2 linked regions of the Struthio camelus genome follow. Each later gene encodes a partner of the first gene's protein in a complex. Links are inferred from orthologs where the notes say so. Each region holds a gene or a part of one and is shown in the gene's direction. Other genes may lie near its edges.

Region 1 (7,825 bases):
GGCTGCCGCGGCGGCGGCGGCGCGGGGGCACCAGCGAGGCGACGGCGCCGCTGGGCCGTGCGGCCCTGTGCTCTGCTCCGCAGCTGGACCCCGAGAACACCGGCTTCGTCGGCGCCGAGACCTTCGCCAGCCTCGTGCACCGCCACGAGCTGCCCCTGGACCCCGCCAAGCTGGACATGCTGGTGGCGCTGGCGCAGGGCGACGGCGAGGGGCAGGTCTGCTACCAGGAGCTGGTGGATCTGGTCAGTCCCGGGGTGGCGCGGGCCGGGGCCGGGAGCAGGAGAGGGACCGGGGCGGGCGGGCGCCGGGCACCCCCCCGTGCCGGCCGGCCGGGCACGGGCGAAACGCGCCGGGCAGTGCCGGGAGCCGCGCGGCTCCCCGCGGTCCGGCGGGGCGCCCCGGCCGGGCGGTGGTGGGCCACGGCCCTCTCGCCGCAGATCAGCAGCAAGCGCTCGAGCAGCTTCAAGCGAGCCATCGCCAACGGGCAGCGGGCCCTGCCCCGGGACGTGCTGCTCGACCAGACCGGCCTGGGCTTCTACAAGCGCTTCGTGCGCTACGTGGCCTACGAGATCCTGCCCTGCGAGATGGACCGGCGCTGGTACTTCTACCAGCACCGCACTTGCCCCCCACCCGTCTTCATGGCCGCCGTGACGCTCACCCAGGTGCGCGGGGGGCCGGTGCCGCGGGCAGGCGGCCGGGGGGTCGGGACGGGGCGCTGACGGCTGCCCGGCGGCTCGCGCAGATCATCGTGTTCCTGTGCTACGGCGCCCGGCTGAACAAGTGGGTGCTGCAGACCTACCACCCCGAGTACATGAAGAGCCCCCTGGTCTACCACCCCGGGCACCGGGCCCGCGCCTGGCGCTTCCTCACCTACATGTTCATGCACGTGGGGTAAGGTGGGCCCGGCGGCGGCGGGGCGCCTCGGCCGGCGGGCGGGCGCCGGCGGCGGGGCGGCCGGCCCACCCGCGTCCTCCCCTGCGCGGCAGGCTGGAGCAGCTGGGCTTCAACGCCCTGCTGCAGCTCATGATCGGCGTGCCCCTGGAGATGGTGCACGGCGTCCTGCGCATCAGCTTCCTCTACCTGGCCGGCGTGCTGGCAGGTGGGTGCGCACCCCGTGGGGGGGGGGGTGCGGGGGACCCCCCCCCCCGCACCCCGGCCGCCCTGAGCGCCGCCGCTGCCCGCAGGCTCGCTGACCGTCTCCATCACGGACATGCGGGCGCCGCTGGTGGGCGGCTCCGGCGGCGTCTACGCGCTCTGCTCTGCCCACCTGGCCAACGTGGTCATGGTAAGTGGCCACCCGGCCCCGAAACCGGACCCCCCCCCCCCGCCGCCGCCGCCGCCCCCCGCCCACGCGCCCCTCTCCCCGCAGAACTGGGCAGGGATGCGCTGCCCCTACAAGCTGCTCCGCATGGTGCTGGCGCTGGTGTGCAGTAAGTAGCGGCCGGGGGGGGGGGGGCCGGGCGGCGCGGGGGGCCGCCGGCCGGGGGGGCTGAGCGGCGGCCGTGTCTTGCAGTGAGCTCGGAGGTGGGCCGGGCCGTGTGGCTGCGCTTCTCGCCGCCGCTGCCGGCCTCGGGCCCCCAGCCCAGCTTCATGGCCCACCTGGCGGGGGCCATCGTGGGCATCAGCATGGGGCTCACCATCCTGCGCAGCTACGAGGAGAGCCTGCGCGACCAGTGCGGCTGGTGGGTGGTGCTGCTCTCCTACGGCACCTTCCTCCTCTTCGCCGTCTTCTGGAACATCTTCGCCTACGACCTGCTGGGGGCACAGATCCCGCCGCCCCCCTAGCGCCCTGCCCGCCCCGCCGCTGCCCGTTGTTCCCTCTGCCTCTCGTTTTGTATCGGTGTCGCCCCCCCCCCCCCCCGACCCCGGGGCGGCGGGGGTCCCTGCAGGGCCGGGCAGCCCCCCAGCCCCGGCAGCCGCCGCCCCGCGCCGCCCACCCGCCCCGGCCCCGCTCGGGGCTCGGCCCCCGCCGGCCTCGCTACACCCCTTCCGAGGAGCCCTCCGCGGCCAGGGCAGCGGCGCCTTTACGTGGAGGACCGGTGCCAAAATAGGACTGATCTATTTTTCTATGCCCCCCCCCCCAAAAAAAAAAAAGAAAAAAGAAAAAGAAATATATATATAGAGAGAGAGAGAGGAAAGAGAGAGAAGGGGAGGAGAAAGAAGAAAGAACCAGCTGAGACCGGCCAAACTCGTTTCAGCAGTGAGCCCGGTGCCCGCCCCCCTCGGCCGTGGCCGGCCCCGCTCTGCCGCCCGGCGCCGCCGGGGCGCCCGCCGGAGCCCCCCGGCCCCCGACCCAACCGACCTTTTTGGAGTATAAATAAATATTTTGCACACCAGCGGCCCCCTCGGGCTCCGGCAGCGGCGGGGGGGGGAACGGGCGCTGGGATGCTCCGAGGGGTTTCGGGGGGGGGGGGTTGAGCCTGCTAATTCCATGTCAGCTGCTAATTAAATCAGTGCGTTGCTCATTAGTTGAGCGGGAGCGGGGCCGAGGAAGCAGGCCTGGTGCCCTCGGCCAGCTGTGGTCCGGGGGGCGGGGGGGGGGGGGAAGCCCCCCCCCCCAGCAGCCTGCGTGGGGCCTGAGCTGGGAAACGGGGAGGGGAGAGGGCAAATCCGGCCTGGGAGCAGATGACTAGGGCAGAAAAGTTTGGGGGGGGGGGGGGACGAGCCCAGCGCGCGGGAGGGCTCGCGGGGCGCCCGGTCCGGGCCCCCCCCCCCCCGAGCTGCTCCGGCACCGAGGGCAGCCCCCGCCGCCGGCCCCCCCGCCCCACTAACCCCCACCGCGCCCCCTCCCAGCACCCTGCCCTGTGCCCCCCACCCCATCCTGCCCCCCCCACCCACTGAGCCCCCCCATCCAGCCCCCACATACCCCCCCCCATCAGGCCCCAGGGTGCCCATCCAGCCCCACGCACCCCAATCTGGCCCCCCCTATCTCATACCCCCCCCATGCACCCACATCATCGTGCACCCCCACCCCCCCATGCACCCCATATCCCCATGCTCCCACACCTCACTGCAGCCTGCACCCCCCCACCCATGTATCCTGCACCCCATGCATCCTACCGCACCCCACTGCAGCCCCCCCATATACCCCACCCCCCCCCACTCCCAAAGCAGCCCACACTCTATTGCATCCACAGCCCCCGCACCCTGTACCCCCCCACCCCACTTTATGAACGCTGCACCCTCCACACCCCTCATGCACCCCATACCCCACTGCACCCCACACCTTGCACCCCTCTCTGCACCTACAACCCCATGCACCCCACTGCGCCTCCCCACAGCACCCATCTCCCCCACACCCTCCATGCACCCTGCACCCAGTGCACCCCATACCTCCCAGCACCCTCCTGACATCTTGCACCCCCCCCCGCTCTTGCACACTGCACCTCCTGCACACCCCCCCCTGCTCCTGCCTGTCCCCCTACCCACCCCAGCACCCCAAATCCCCCAGTACCCCTTTGCACCCCATATGCCGCCAGTACCCTCCCTGCACCTTGCACCCCCCCCTTGCACCCTCCAGCACCCCATGCACCCTACTGCCCCCTTGCACCCACGTCCGTGCACCCCACATCCCACCCCATGTACCCCAACCCCCCCATGCATCCCACACCCTGCTGCACCCACTGCAACATAACCCCCCCCATGCACCCTATCCCTTTCTGCCCTCGCTGCACCCCACAATCCCCCTGCACCCCACCTCCGCCTGCACCCCACAACCCCCCTGCCCTCACATGTACCCCCAACCCCCCATGCACCCCCCTGCACTCAACCCCCCCCGCCCTCACATGTACCCCCAAACCCATGTACCCCCACTGCACTCCACAACCCCCCCACCCTCACATGTACCCCCCCAAGCTCCCCATGCACCCCCCCCACCTCCCCCTGCACCCCACAACCCCCTGCCCTCCCATGCACCCCCGAAGCCCCCCACCTCCCCTTGCACTCCACAACCCCCCCATGCACCCCACCCCCTCCTGCACCACGCACCCCACCCCATACCCCCATGCACCCCCAATCCCCCCATGCACCCCCAACCCCCATGCACCCCCCCGCAGCCCACACCCCACTCCAAACCCCCCTGCACCCCCCAATCCCCATGCACCCCCCCGCAGCCCACACCCCACCCCAACCCCCCTGCACCCCCAACCCCCATGCACCCCCCCGCAGCCCACACCCCACTCCAACCCCCCCGCACCCCCCACCCCCTGCACCCCGCACCCTCCCGCAGCCCACACCCCACTCCAACCCCCCTGCACCCCCAACCCCCCTGCACCCCGCACCCCCCCGCAGCCCACACCCCACCCCAACCCCCCTGCACCCCCAACCCCCATGCACCCCCCCGCAGCCCACACCCCACCCCAACCCCCCCGCACACCCAACCCCCTGCACCCCGCACCCCCCCGCAGCGCACCCCTAACCCCATGCACCCCCCCGCAGCCCACCCCCCACCCCAACCCCCCCGCACCCCCCACCCCCTGCACCCCGCACCCCCCCGCAGCCCACCCCTCACCCCAACCCCCCCCCGCAGCCGGCGCGGCGGCAGCGCTGCCCCCCGCCGCCCCGCCCCCGGCGGCCCCGGCCCGGAAGCGCGGCGGGGGGGGGGCGGGGGGGCGGGGCGGCGGCGGCGCTGTCGCAGTGCGCGGCCAGGAGCGGAGCCGCCGGCCCGGCCCGGCCCGGCGCGGGGGGGCGGCGGCGGCGGCGGCGCCATGAAGGGGAAGGAGGAGAAGGAGGGCGGCGCGGCGGGCGCGGGGCCCGGCGGGGCGGCGGGGGCGGGCGCGGGGCCGCGGGGCGGCGGCGGGGGCGCGGGGGGCCCCGGCCCCGGCTCCGGCCCCGGCCCGGGCCCCGGCGGCAGCCCCGAGAAGAGCCACAGCGCGCAGGAGCACAAGGAGCAGGGCAACCGGCTCTTCGTGGGCCGCAAGTACCCCGAGGCCGCCGCCTGCTACGGCCGCGCCATCGTGAGTGGGGCCGGGGCCGGGGCCGGGGCCGGGGCCGGGGCTGGGGCCGGGGCTGGGGCCGGGGCTGCCACCGGACCGACCCTCCCCCAGGCCGCCTCCCTCCGTCCCCCATGTCCCCAGGCCGGGCCTGTCCCTGTCCCCCCCCAACCATGTCCCCACGCTGGGCCTGTCCCCCCTCTCCATGTCCCCAGGCCGGGCCTGTCCCTGTCCCCCACCCCCCAACCATGTCCCCGCCCTGTCCCTGTCCCCCTCTCCATGTCCCCAGGCCGGGCCTGTCCCTGTCCCCCCCCAACCATGTCCCCGCCCTGTCCCTGTCCCCCTCTCCATGTCCCCAGGCCAGGCCTGTCCCTGTCCCCCCCCAACCATGTCCCCAGGCCGGGCCTGTCCCCCCTCTCCATGTCCCCACGCCGGGCCTGTCCCTGTCCCCCCCCTCTCCATGTCCCCACGCCGGGCCTGTCCCCCCTCTCCATGTCCCCAGGCCGGGCCTGTCCCTGTCCCCCCCCAACCATGTCCCCACGCTGGGCCTGTCCCCCTCTCCATGTCCCCAGGCCGGGCCTGTCCCTGTCCCCCCCCAACCATGTCCCCATGCTGGGCCTGTCCCCCTCTCCATGTCCCCAGGCCGGGCCTGTCCCTGTCCCCCCCCAACCATGTCCCCACGCTGGGCCTGTCCCCCTCTCCATGTCCCCAGGCCGGGCCTGTCCCTGTCCCCCACCCCCCAACCATGTCCCCGCCCTGTCCCTGTCCCCCTCTCCATGTCCCCAGGCCGGGCCTGTCCCTGTCCCCCCCCAACCATGTCCCCGCCCTGTCCCTGTCCCCCTCTCCATGTCCCCAGGCCAGGCCTGTCCCTGTCCCCCCCCAACCATGTCCCCAGGCCGGGCCTGTCCCCCCTCTCCATGTCCCCACGCCGGGCCTGTCCCTGTCCCCCCCCTCTCCATGTCCCCACGCCGGGCCTGTCCCCCCTCTCCATGTCCCCAGGCCGGGCCTGTCCCTGTCCCCCCCCAACCATGTCCCCACGCTGGGCCTGTCCCCCTCTCCATGTCCCCAGGCCGGGCCTGTCCCTGTCCCCCCCCAACCATGTCCCCATGCTGGGCCTGTCCCCCTCTCCATGTCCCCAGGCCGGGCCTGTCCCTGTCCCCCCCCAACCATGTCCCCACGCTGGGCCTGTCCCCCTCTCCATGTCCCCAGGCCGGGCCTGTCCCTGTCCCCCACCCCCCAACCATGTCCCCGCCCTGTCCCTGTCCCCCTCTCCATGTCCCCAGGCCGGGCCTGTCCCTGTCCCCCCCCAACCATGTCCCCGCCCTGTCCCTGTCCCCCTCTCCATGTCCCCAGGCCAGGCCTGTCCCTGTCCCCCCCCAACCATGTCCCCAGGCCGGGCCTGTCCCCCCTCTCCATGTCCCCACGCCGGGCCTGTCCCTGTCCCCCCCCTCTCCATGTCCCCACGCCGGGCCTGTCCCCCCTCTCCATGTCCCCAGGCCGGGCCTGTCCCTGTCCCCCCCCAACCATGTCCCCACGCTGGGCCTGTCCCCCCTCTCCATGTCCCCAGGCCGGGCCTGTCCCTGTCCCCCACCCCCCAACCATGTCCCCGCCCTGTCCCTGTCCCCCTCTCCATGTCCCCAGGCCGGGCCTGTCCCTGTCCCCCCCCAACCATGTCCCCGCCCTGTCCCTGTCCCCCTCTCCATGTCCCCAGGCCAGGCCTGTCCCTGTCCCCCCCCAACCATGTCCCCATGCTGGGCCTGTCCCCCTCTCCATGTCCCCAGGCCGGGCCTGTCCCTGTCCCCCCCCAACCATGTCCCCACGCTGGGCCTGTCCCCCTCTCCATGTCCCCAGGCCGGGCCTGTCCCCCCCCAACTGTGTCCCCATGCTCGGCCTCCTCCCCCCACATCCCTAGGCCAAGCCTGTCCCTGTCCCCCCCCCACCCCAACCATGTCCCCATGCTGGGCCTAGCCTCTACCCCAAAGTGTCCCCAGGCCAGCCCCCCTGCTGCCATATCCCCAGGCTGAGCCTGTCCCTGTCCCCCCCCCCCAAATGTGTCCCCATACTGGGCCTGTCTCCTTCCTCCCATGTCCCCAGACCGGGCCTGTCCCCTCCCCATGTGTCCCCAGGCCAGGCCTGTCCCCCTGCCATGTGTCCCTAGGCCGAGCCTATGTCTCACCCCCCCCCCCCGCCCCATCCCCAGGCCAGGCCTGTCCTCCCCCAACCGTGTCCCCACGCTGGGTCTGCTCCCCCCACCATGTTCCCAGGCCGGGCCTTTCCCTGTTCCCCCCCACCCCAATGTCCCCAGGCTGGGCCTGTCCCCCCCCCCCCCCAAGTGTGTCCCCAAGCCAGACCTGTGGGGCCGGGGGAGGCTGGGCCGTGGTGGCAGCAGGCTGGTAGGGGAATGTGGGGCCTGGCTGGGTCCCCTCCGCCCTGTGTGTGTTGGGGGGGGGGCTGGGCGAGGGGCAGGCTGCCCCCGTGCCGTGGGGACCAGGCCCGGACCCCCGTGTGCCCAGCGCCACGGGGCAGCGGGTCGGGGCCCCGCCGGGGGGCTCGGCGGCCTGCGGGGAGCCAGAGAGCGCTGTGCGCGGCTGCGGGCCTGCTCCCGGCCCGCCCGGCTTTCGGGGCGCGCGCCCTGGGGGGGGGCGCTTCACCCCCGGCCCGGCCCGCGCTCCCCGGCGCCGTGGGGAGACGGCTTCGCCGAGCCGGTTTGGGGAGTCGTCCCAGCGCGCACGCCTTGCGTCGCCACCCCTCCCTGGCCGCCCCCGCCGGGCCGCTCGTCGGGGCGCCTGGCGAACGTGCCCTCCCGCGGCCGCGGCGCCGCGCGCTCATCCCGCCCCGAGCCGCGCCGGCCGTCCCCGTGCAGGAGCCTGCGGCCGATCCGTTGATTTTCCAAG
Region 2 (7,476 bases), on another chromosome or scaffold:
TGCTTTGCGGATGCCAAGACTTGGTGCAAATGACCTGTGATTGAAACACGTAAGTTTAAAAAGCTTTTCTCCATTTAGCAAGTACATTTACCCCTCTATGTTCTTACTAATGTTTTGCATTTTCTATTGAAGTTAATAGGAGCTATATTTATATACCTAATTATTTGCATTTGATTACTGTAACTCCAATGAGCAGATGACACGATCAAACTGTACGGGCCGTACAATGGCTGCAGTAATACAGCAGTCAGTGTGAGATCAGACCCTCTGTGGATAGTGATCTATTTCATCAGCTGTTAGACTAAATTATGAGCTACAAAAACAAGGACAAAAAGGTCAGTAAAGTTATCTGTAGTATAAGAGGTAGAGTAGTAGAAGATTGCAAATCGCGGCATCTTTAATTTTCTGAAATAGGGGGCCAAATCATTTCAGTGATTTTTTTTGTTTTGTTGATGCCAAGAAGTCCACAATTCTGAACAAATCAAGAAGTCAAAATCTCCTCTGCTCCGGTTGTAGTTAGCAGAGAATTTTTAGTTAAGACCTTTTTGCTTTTAATTGAAATGGTTTGTACAGCTGGAGCAGGGTATTTCTTCAAAATGCAATCAGTGGAGTTCTGTGCTATTCAGTATTGATACTCTGGATGTGGATGAAGCATCAGGCTGTGGAAGTCATGGTAGTGGATTTGCCATGTTTATCTAACCTGAACATTAAGAGACTCCACGTGCCCGCTGCACTTATTAACAGAGCCTTTTTATGAACTCAATCTTAAATGCATCCAGCAAAGAACTTGTATTCCCACTTAGGAATACAGCTCTAGACACTTGTCATACACATTACTTACCCACAGATCCATCAGTAAAAGCTTTCTAGAATACCTGATCCAGAACAAACATTTTCGACTCATAGTCCTGATTAATCCAACTTTTTCTGTTCAGGTAATCTGCTAAATTATCATGGGTACTCAGAAGGTTGACCAGCCAATTTAGAGCTTATCCCAAGACACATTGCTTCCTGACATACCACAGAGATTTACTTGCTTATAATGGTGCTGCTTTGAACAACCTGAATTATTCAAGCCCATTTAGGAGAGAAGCAGCAGCACCATGGATAGCCTGCACAAACATGCCAGGCCATCTTGGACAGAACTGTCACCCAAGTCCTTGTGTGAACAGTAGATGAAACAGAGCACCTTGGCAGACAATTCATGATCCATCCGTGACAGAAGGTATGACAGCACGCAGTGAAGAACTTCCCCAGGTGGCCTATCTATGCTGTCCTGAGGTTTCTGGAACGTAGTTGTGCATATAAAATGAATTTACCACAGGCCATGGTATAATGTGGAAGCTGAGGCAAATTCTCTCCACAGTCTTGAAGATCAAAACGGAGAGATGATGTAGTTGCTGGCTTGAGGAAGAAATGGCTTTCTTGAGTTAGGGTCCTGGATTATTCCTTGGAAATCCAAGTGCTCATATGAGCCTAATGATTTTCTAATTGACTGGTGAAGAATCTGTCCATTTTCAAGACAAAGAAACACATGAAGACCCTGTACAGCTTATTATCTTTGGTTAACTGTGATTACATGGTTTCTGGTTGTTTTGGAACACCCTGGAACAAATGCTCTTCTGGGTCTGCAAAACCCTATGCAGATATCAACCTAAAGAAGTCAGGAGCACTATGTTTGCACCAATATGAAGAAGACAGAAGTCTCTCCAAAAAATAACAAAAGCTTCTTCATTATTTTCCCTTCTGAAATGGAATATATAGATCTCGAACCTGGAGTCTCATCTTAAAATACGTGGAGAGTACAGAAACTTCTTCATCTTTTAACAAATTTTCGTGGACCTGAAATTTTTGCTGAGCAGTATTCCTTACATGAACATTTCCCTAAATCAGTCTGGTCATGAATAAGACTAACAGTAATACAAACTAGAAGCCATGTTGCCTCGGAGTTGCAGTTATGGCCCAGCACAACATTGTATTAGAGAATAAAAAAGTGAATCACTGAGTTGCTATCCCCTATAACCTACCTAGCTGGGAATTCTTTCAGCTGTAAGAGGTACCAGGCTGAAATCTCTCTCTCAGGAAGAGATTTTAATTGACAGAAAAACCATGAGATCTAGCCAACTAAAATCAGTCACAAAAATGATTTTACTTCTTAGTCCACACTCCCTTCTCTGCAGCTGGAGCCTTGTCTCCGCGAGTCTCTCTCCTGTAGACAATCAAAAGCACCCCGACCTATTAGCTCCTGCTAATTTCTGTGAAACGTACTCTCCTCCATTCCTTAGCATGGCACAAATGCACAAACACGTCTAACTTACAATTGTTAGCTAGCCCTTTGAACTTTCCTTTTATTCATTCTTCACGTACTTGCTGACCTCATTCATTAACTCTGCTAAGCATACAACTAGCTATCAGCTGCAGCAAAACAAAGAAACCCCATTCTTCATTTCTCTATTTACACTCCATCAGGCACAAAAACTATGTGTATTACCTCAATTTACCTAAGTAGTTTCCCCGGCAAGACCTTTTAACATTTCTGTATGCTGTTCCCCTAAGTCAGTGGCTTTCGTTGACTTGGCAAGGACTGTGGTATATGCCACAGAGAACTTATGGTTTAAGCATGCTTCTTACTGTTCTGAAGATGAGACCAAAGAGTGAAATTTCTCTACAGATTTTTACAGATTGGAAGTAGAACAAATCTCAGATATCAAGTCTTTTGAGGCAACTGCTGATATTAATGAAGCTGGACAGAGATGGCTTTGATAAGAGCATGAGAGGTAGCAGGGTTAGGAGATATGTCCAGGGATGTGTATCACAGTCCAGGACTGATTTTAAGATATGCGAGATATGTGACTGTTGCTCTAACAAATGGGTAAGTCAGAAGCGATGATGCTGATAATACGAGCATTTCAAGGTACAGACTGAAAAAAAAAAGGTCAGTTTACAATACCTGCAAGTCAAAGGTGCACAATAACAATGAGGATAGAAAGAGCAGTCTTTGATGGACTACTGTGTAGTTCTGAAGGCAAGCAATGTACAGAATGGAAGTGTTACAGGAAGGAAGAAGCAAGTTTGAGGGGTTATTAGGTATACCAGCATAATGAAGTAAACTCATTCTGCCAATGGTTAAAGGAGTATCACCGTCAAGCAGTATCAAGAGATCTTTGGGCTTTACTTCCTCAAGCAAGAGGAGATCCTGACTGTCCCCAGGAGCGGGAACACACAGGCTTTTCTTAAGTACTTCAGTAATGACTATCTCCAAGGAATGCATGCCTTGAATTCCTTGAAGCAAGTAACTTTGCAGCAGGTAATGTCTGCACTTAAGGGACACTCTGCATTCACTGTTCTACTTAAAGTAACTATCAACAGGCATCTGTGGCATGACTGCCGGATGACTACAAGTGGAACAACTATGAAGTACAGTTAACTCAAACTGAACACTTAGGGGGAGTGCATGAAAAACTGATACAGCAGCCATAGAGGAAGGCATGATTTTCAAGTTTTGCGCTTTGACATATTCCTTGGTATTAGTGAAACTGAGGGCTGAGACACATTAAATTACAAAAAGCTAAAGAAGATCAAAACAGCTGAATCTGAAGAGCATGTCTGTCCATCCTCATACTTGGAAATAAAGATTATTTTTATTTGCTATTTGTCGGGTTTAGTCAATTACAACCTTAAGTTATCAGTCACAGGGCAAGCAAGATGCTCTCTGGGCTTTGGTCACTATACCAGGAGGTAGGAATTAATGGGCTGTTACGTCCCAACCATAGGAAGTTCAGAGTACGCTGCAGGGCTGTGTGTTCTCTGGGGACACTGCTGGCCTAAAAATCCCCTTCTCCTGTATCAGACTTACACTCTCGTAGCAGGAACTGGACAGAGCAGTAAAGCAGCATGCGTATCTTTTAGGTTTACTTTTCCAGAGTCTGCCTCAAGCATTGCTCCTGTTAAGTGGGCCTGTAAAATACATGTGCACTCCTGCAGAAAGGTAAAAGAGAGGACTCGCTCCACGCACTTATCCGCCCTGCCTCTTCCTGAGGAAGCCCCCGGGGGTGGGTCCAGACTGCAGATCTCTGGGGGCAGCAGCCGCCCCCCCCCCCCGGTCTGTTAAGACAAGACTCGCTCCAGTGCGACAGCAAGCAAAGCAGCCCTGCTCAGAAATCGCCAGTCACCCGCGCCACGCCGCCGGCTCTGCCGGGGGTGCGGGGCCCTCCCGCCGGGCCGGGCGCTCGCAGCGCAGGGGGTGAAGGAAACTTGCAGCCGCTGCCCCGGGGCCGGGCGGGGTGACTCAAGGGGCAGCCCCTGCCCGGCGGCCCGGAGGCGGCCAAGCTGTGCTAGACGCAACCAGAAGTTTCCAGCCGGCCAGCTTACCCCGCGCCTCTCGCTCTTCCTCCTCCGCCCCTCCTCCTCCTCCGCCCCTCCTCCTTCCCCTCCCCTCCTCCGCCTTCCCCCTTTGCACAGAGCGGCTATTTCCAGACACTTCCAGCCCCTTGTCTCCTCCCTCCCTCCCGCCCCGCTTGATAAAGGCGCCTGGCCGGTTTCCCCGCCTGACACTGCAGCTCCTGTCTGGCCCGGCATGAGTGCCGCCACTCACTCCCCGCTGGTGCAGATGGAGGGCGGCAGCGCCGAGCCGCTGCCCCCCGGCTGGGAGATCAAGATCGACCCGCAGACCGGCTGGCCCTTCTTCGTGGATCACAACAGCCGCACCACCACCTGGAGCGACCCGCGCCTGCGGGCCGAGGTACGGCGGGTGGGGAGGTGGGTGCCCCGCTCCGCGCCGCGCTGCTCCGCTCCCTTCCGCGCCCCGCCGCAACTTCGGCGGAGCAGCTCGGAGCGGGCGGGGGGGGGGGGGGGGAAGAGGGGGGAGAGCCGGCGGGGCGGCGCGGCCGCGAAGGGCAAAGCCGTGACAGAGCGGGCGGGGAGGGGCCGCGGCCGTTGGCGCCGCGCGGCCGTTGGCGCCGGGGCGGGGGGCAGGGCGCGGCCGGCGGCCCCCGCCCGGGGGGGGGGCAGGGCGGCCGGCGCTCTCCTCAGTGCATGGCAATGCAGTGAGGCCAGGAGCTGCCTTTTGTCTCTGACGCACTGCAGTCCCTTTTTTGTGCATTAAATCATTTGATACCTCGGCCCCTGTAATGTTTATTTAAAGTTGGTTAAGTCCACCCAGCCTGCCTGGGAAGACGCAAAACTTTGATGCCTTTTTTTTTTTTTTTTTTTCCCCCTGCTCCGGGTAGTCCAAACAGTGAATGCGTTTAAAAAAAAAAAAAAAAAAACCTAGAAACCCAATCCAGAGTTTATAACTTGTCAAGGTTTCTTTTCTGGTCACAAAGTATCTCAGTAATTTTGCTGTCTGGTTTTGTTTTGTTTTTAAGCATGCTCAGGGAAAAGCTGTATCTTAGTCCAAATATGTCCATGGGAAGAGAGGCAGCTGAGGGGAGAGCGGGTGTGAGGGGGTAAGGGCCCTCCTCAGTGGCTCTTTCAAGTCAAACTCTCTTGGTTCCCGGGAATACAGCGATTTGACCAGTATTAGCGTTTCTGTAAAGAATGCAGTGACTAGCCAGAAAGTGCTGGAAACTTTGAGCGGCACCAGAAGTTCCGAGTCCAGTGGAAAAACAATTCCTGTGGGATTTTTTTGCGTTTTCATCCCCACTTGGCCACACTTTACAGCTGTCGCCTTCGATTTTTTGCGACTGAATGAAACGGGTGGCGAGGGAGCGTTCCTATCAAAAAGCGCTGACTGTTTTTTTTTTTTTTGATTTGGCCATCCTCGCTACCTAAAACGTCACCCAGAGTTAGGGCCTAGAAAAGGGCCCCCGCCACGTACCAGCGGAGGACAACCGCCCGGTGAAAGGCGGAGGGAGGCCGCAGCCTGGGCCTGTGCGGCGGAGCCACGCGCCTGGCCGTCGGCCGGTTGGCGCGGCTGCGCCGGGGAAGGGCTCCTGCGGCTTGGGCCGTGGCTGGGGCGCTGCCCGGCCGCGCGCCCGGCGTGAAGGCCGCCGGGTTGGCAGGAGGCTGTGTGATGAGCGTGACCGTGCTCGTGTCAGCCCTCGAGGGTCACGGCCGCCTTGCTGTTTTGGCCTCTTGGGAAGAGCCTCGCGCCTGCTTGCTGGGAAGGAGTTCTGCTTGGGTTGCTGTTTTAAGCAGTAGCCCCCTATTTAAGAAATATATATATATATATAAAAATTAATTGCATGAAACATATCTGCGATGCACCGTTTTGAAGATACCTGGTATCTTCAAAATGTGTCTTCAATATACATCACAGACTTTTTTTTTCTTGGTAGCCTTATATAAATTACAAGGGTCAAAGCACTAGATACAGATTGTTATTTCAAGAATGGAAGTTTTTCTAATTACTAATTGAATGATAACGGCCTATTTTGAGAGTGCAGACCGTAACTGAAATCTCAGTGTGAGAGCAGCGTGGTATTTAAAACAAATGACCAGGGTATACTCTTCTGGCATAGAGCTGCTCCATCAGGGTAGCTTAGTGCAGTTGCGTTCACAGATACAAGCTATTGTTTTGAGAGTGTGGAAATGAATCCAAATGGACAAAACATATCCTTCTGTCCCATTTGTGGCTTTTTAAGTGCTAGTTAATTTAATATGCAAGTGTATTGTTCTGGTCGTAATGTAAAGAGGCCTTAAAAAATGTAATTCAATAATGGGAATATAAAGAATAGCATAGGAAAAGTGCTTTAACTCCTTTTTGGAGACACTGTTCTCCTAGTATAATGAGGCACCTGTTACACTGGCTGCTATGGCAATAAAAAGAACAAAATAGTTAAGTATGTTTCTTACAACCATAAAACATAGATGAGGAGAAACTAGTGCTATTTTACTCAAAGGCTTCTGTTATGGAAATACTGCTTGATGCTAACCCATTTAAGAGAAAAATAACACTTAAGCTGCTTTTGGTAATTGCATGAACACAGGAATTTGAAGTGCTCTAATGGATCAGTCTTCTTTTGAGTAGGTGCCTGATACAAGACAAATTTTCAGCCCTATCTGATATGAAATCTGTGGTAATGAGAAGTACTTCTTCTCCTGCCAAGTTGCAAGGGTTATTACAAATAGAAAAAGTTGCACCTGCTTTTGAAGGGCTTTGGTGGAATATAGTGTTGATTTTGGAGAGCTGCAGTGTGATCTTGCTCACAGAAAAATCTCCATATCACCATCTCTTATGGTGATAGAAATTGTGTGTGACTGATCTGATAGGGCCACTTGCCAGAGCCTAGAGAGTCTGTTCAAATTAATGGACAGCTTCTGAAACATTCATTTGTTAAGTACCATTTTATTTACGAGTACTATTGAGCAAAAACTCAGAATGTGACTCGAGGAAAGTGTTTCTGTTCCTAAATAATATTTTTGTAGCTAAGCTACGCCAGAGAAGATAGAGATTGATCACTGACATTGAATTTCAAATCCAACAATGTTTTTTTTTTTTTTTTTTAAAGGCATTAGATACTACTTTTACTTAAA

What was found. Proteins that work in one complex are often made in the same cells at the same time.
Region 2: STUB1 (region 1) and BAG3 share a complex: the UniProt entries of both Homo sapiens proteins name them as parts of the chaperone-assisted selective autophagy (CASA) complex. The link is inferred for Struthio camelus from reciprocal best matches to the Homo sapiens genes STUB1 and BAG3.

The regions. Positions count from the first base shown.
Region 1 is NC_090956.1:17,572,735-17,580,559, reverse strand, and holds the start of STUB1 (E3 ubiquitin-protein ligase CHIP), read left to right. Parts: upstream 1-4,810; 5' UTR 4,811-4,955; intron 4,956-7,825. Other genes in the region: RHBDL1 (rhomboid-related protein 1), read left to right, coding at 84-242, 438-662, 743-891, 987-1,099, 1,185-1,285, 1,370-1,430, 1,514-1,785. UniProt on the Homo sapiens protein: E3 ubiquitin-protein ligase which targets misfolded chaperone substrates towards proteasomal degradation.
Region 2 is NC_090948.1:7,078,506-7,085,981, reverse strand, and holds the start of BAG3 (BAG family molecular chaperone regulator 3), read left to right. Parts: upstream 1-4,461; 5' UTR 4,462-4,576; coding exon 4,577-4,741; intron 4,742-7,476. UniProt on the Homo sapiens protein: Co-chaperone and adapter protein that connects different classes of molecular chaperones including heat shock proteins 70 (HSP70s), e.g. HSPA1A/HSP70 or HSPA8/HSC70, and small heat shock proteins (sHSPs), e.g. HSPB8.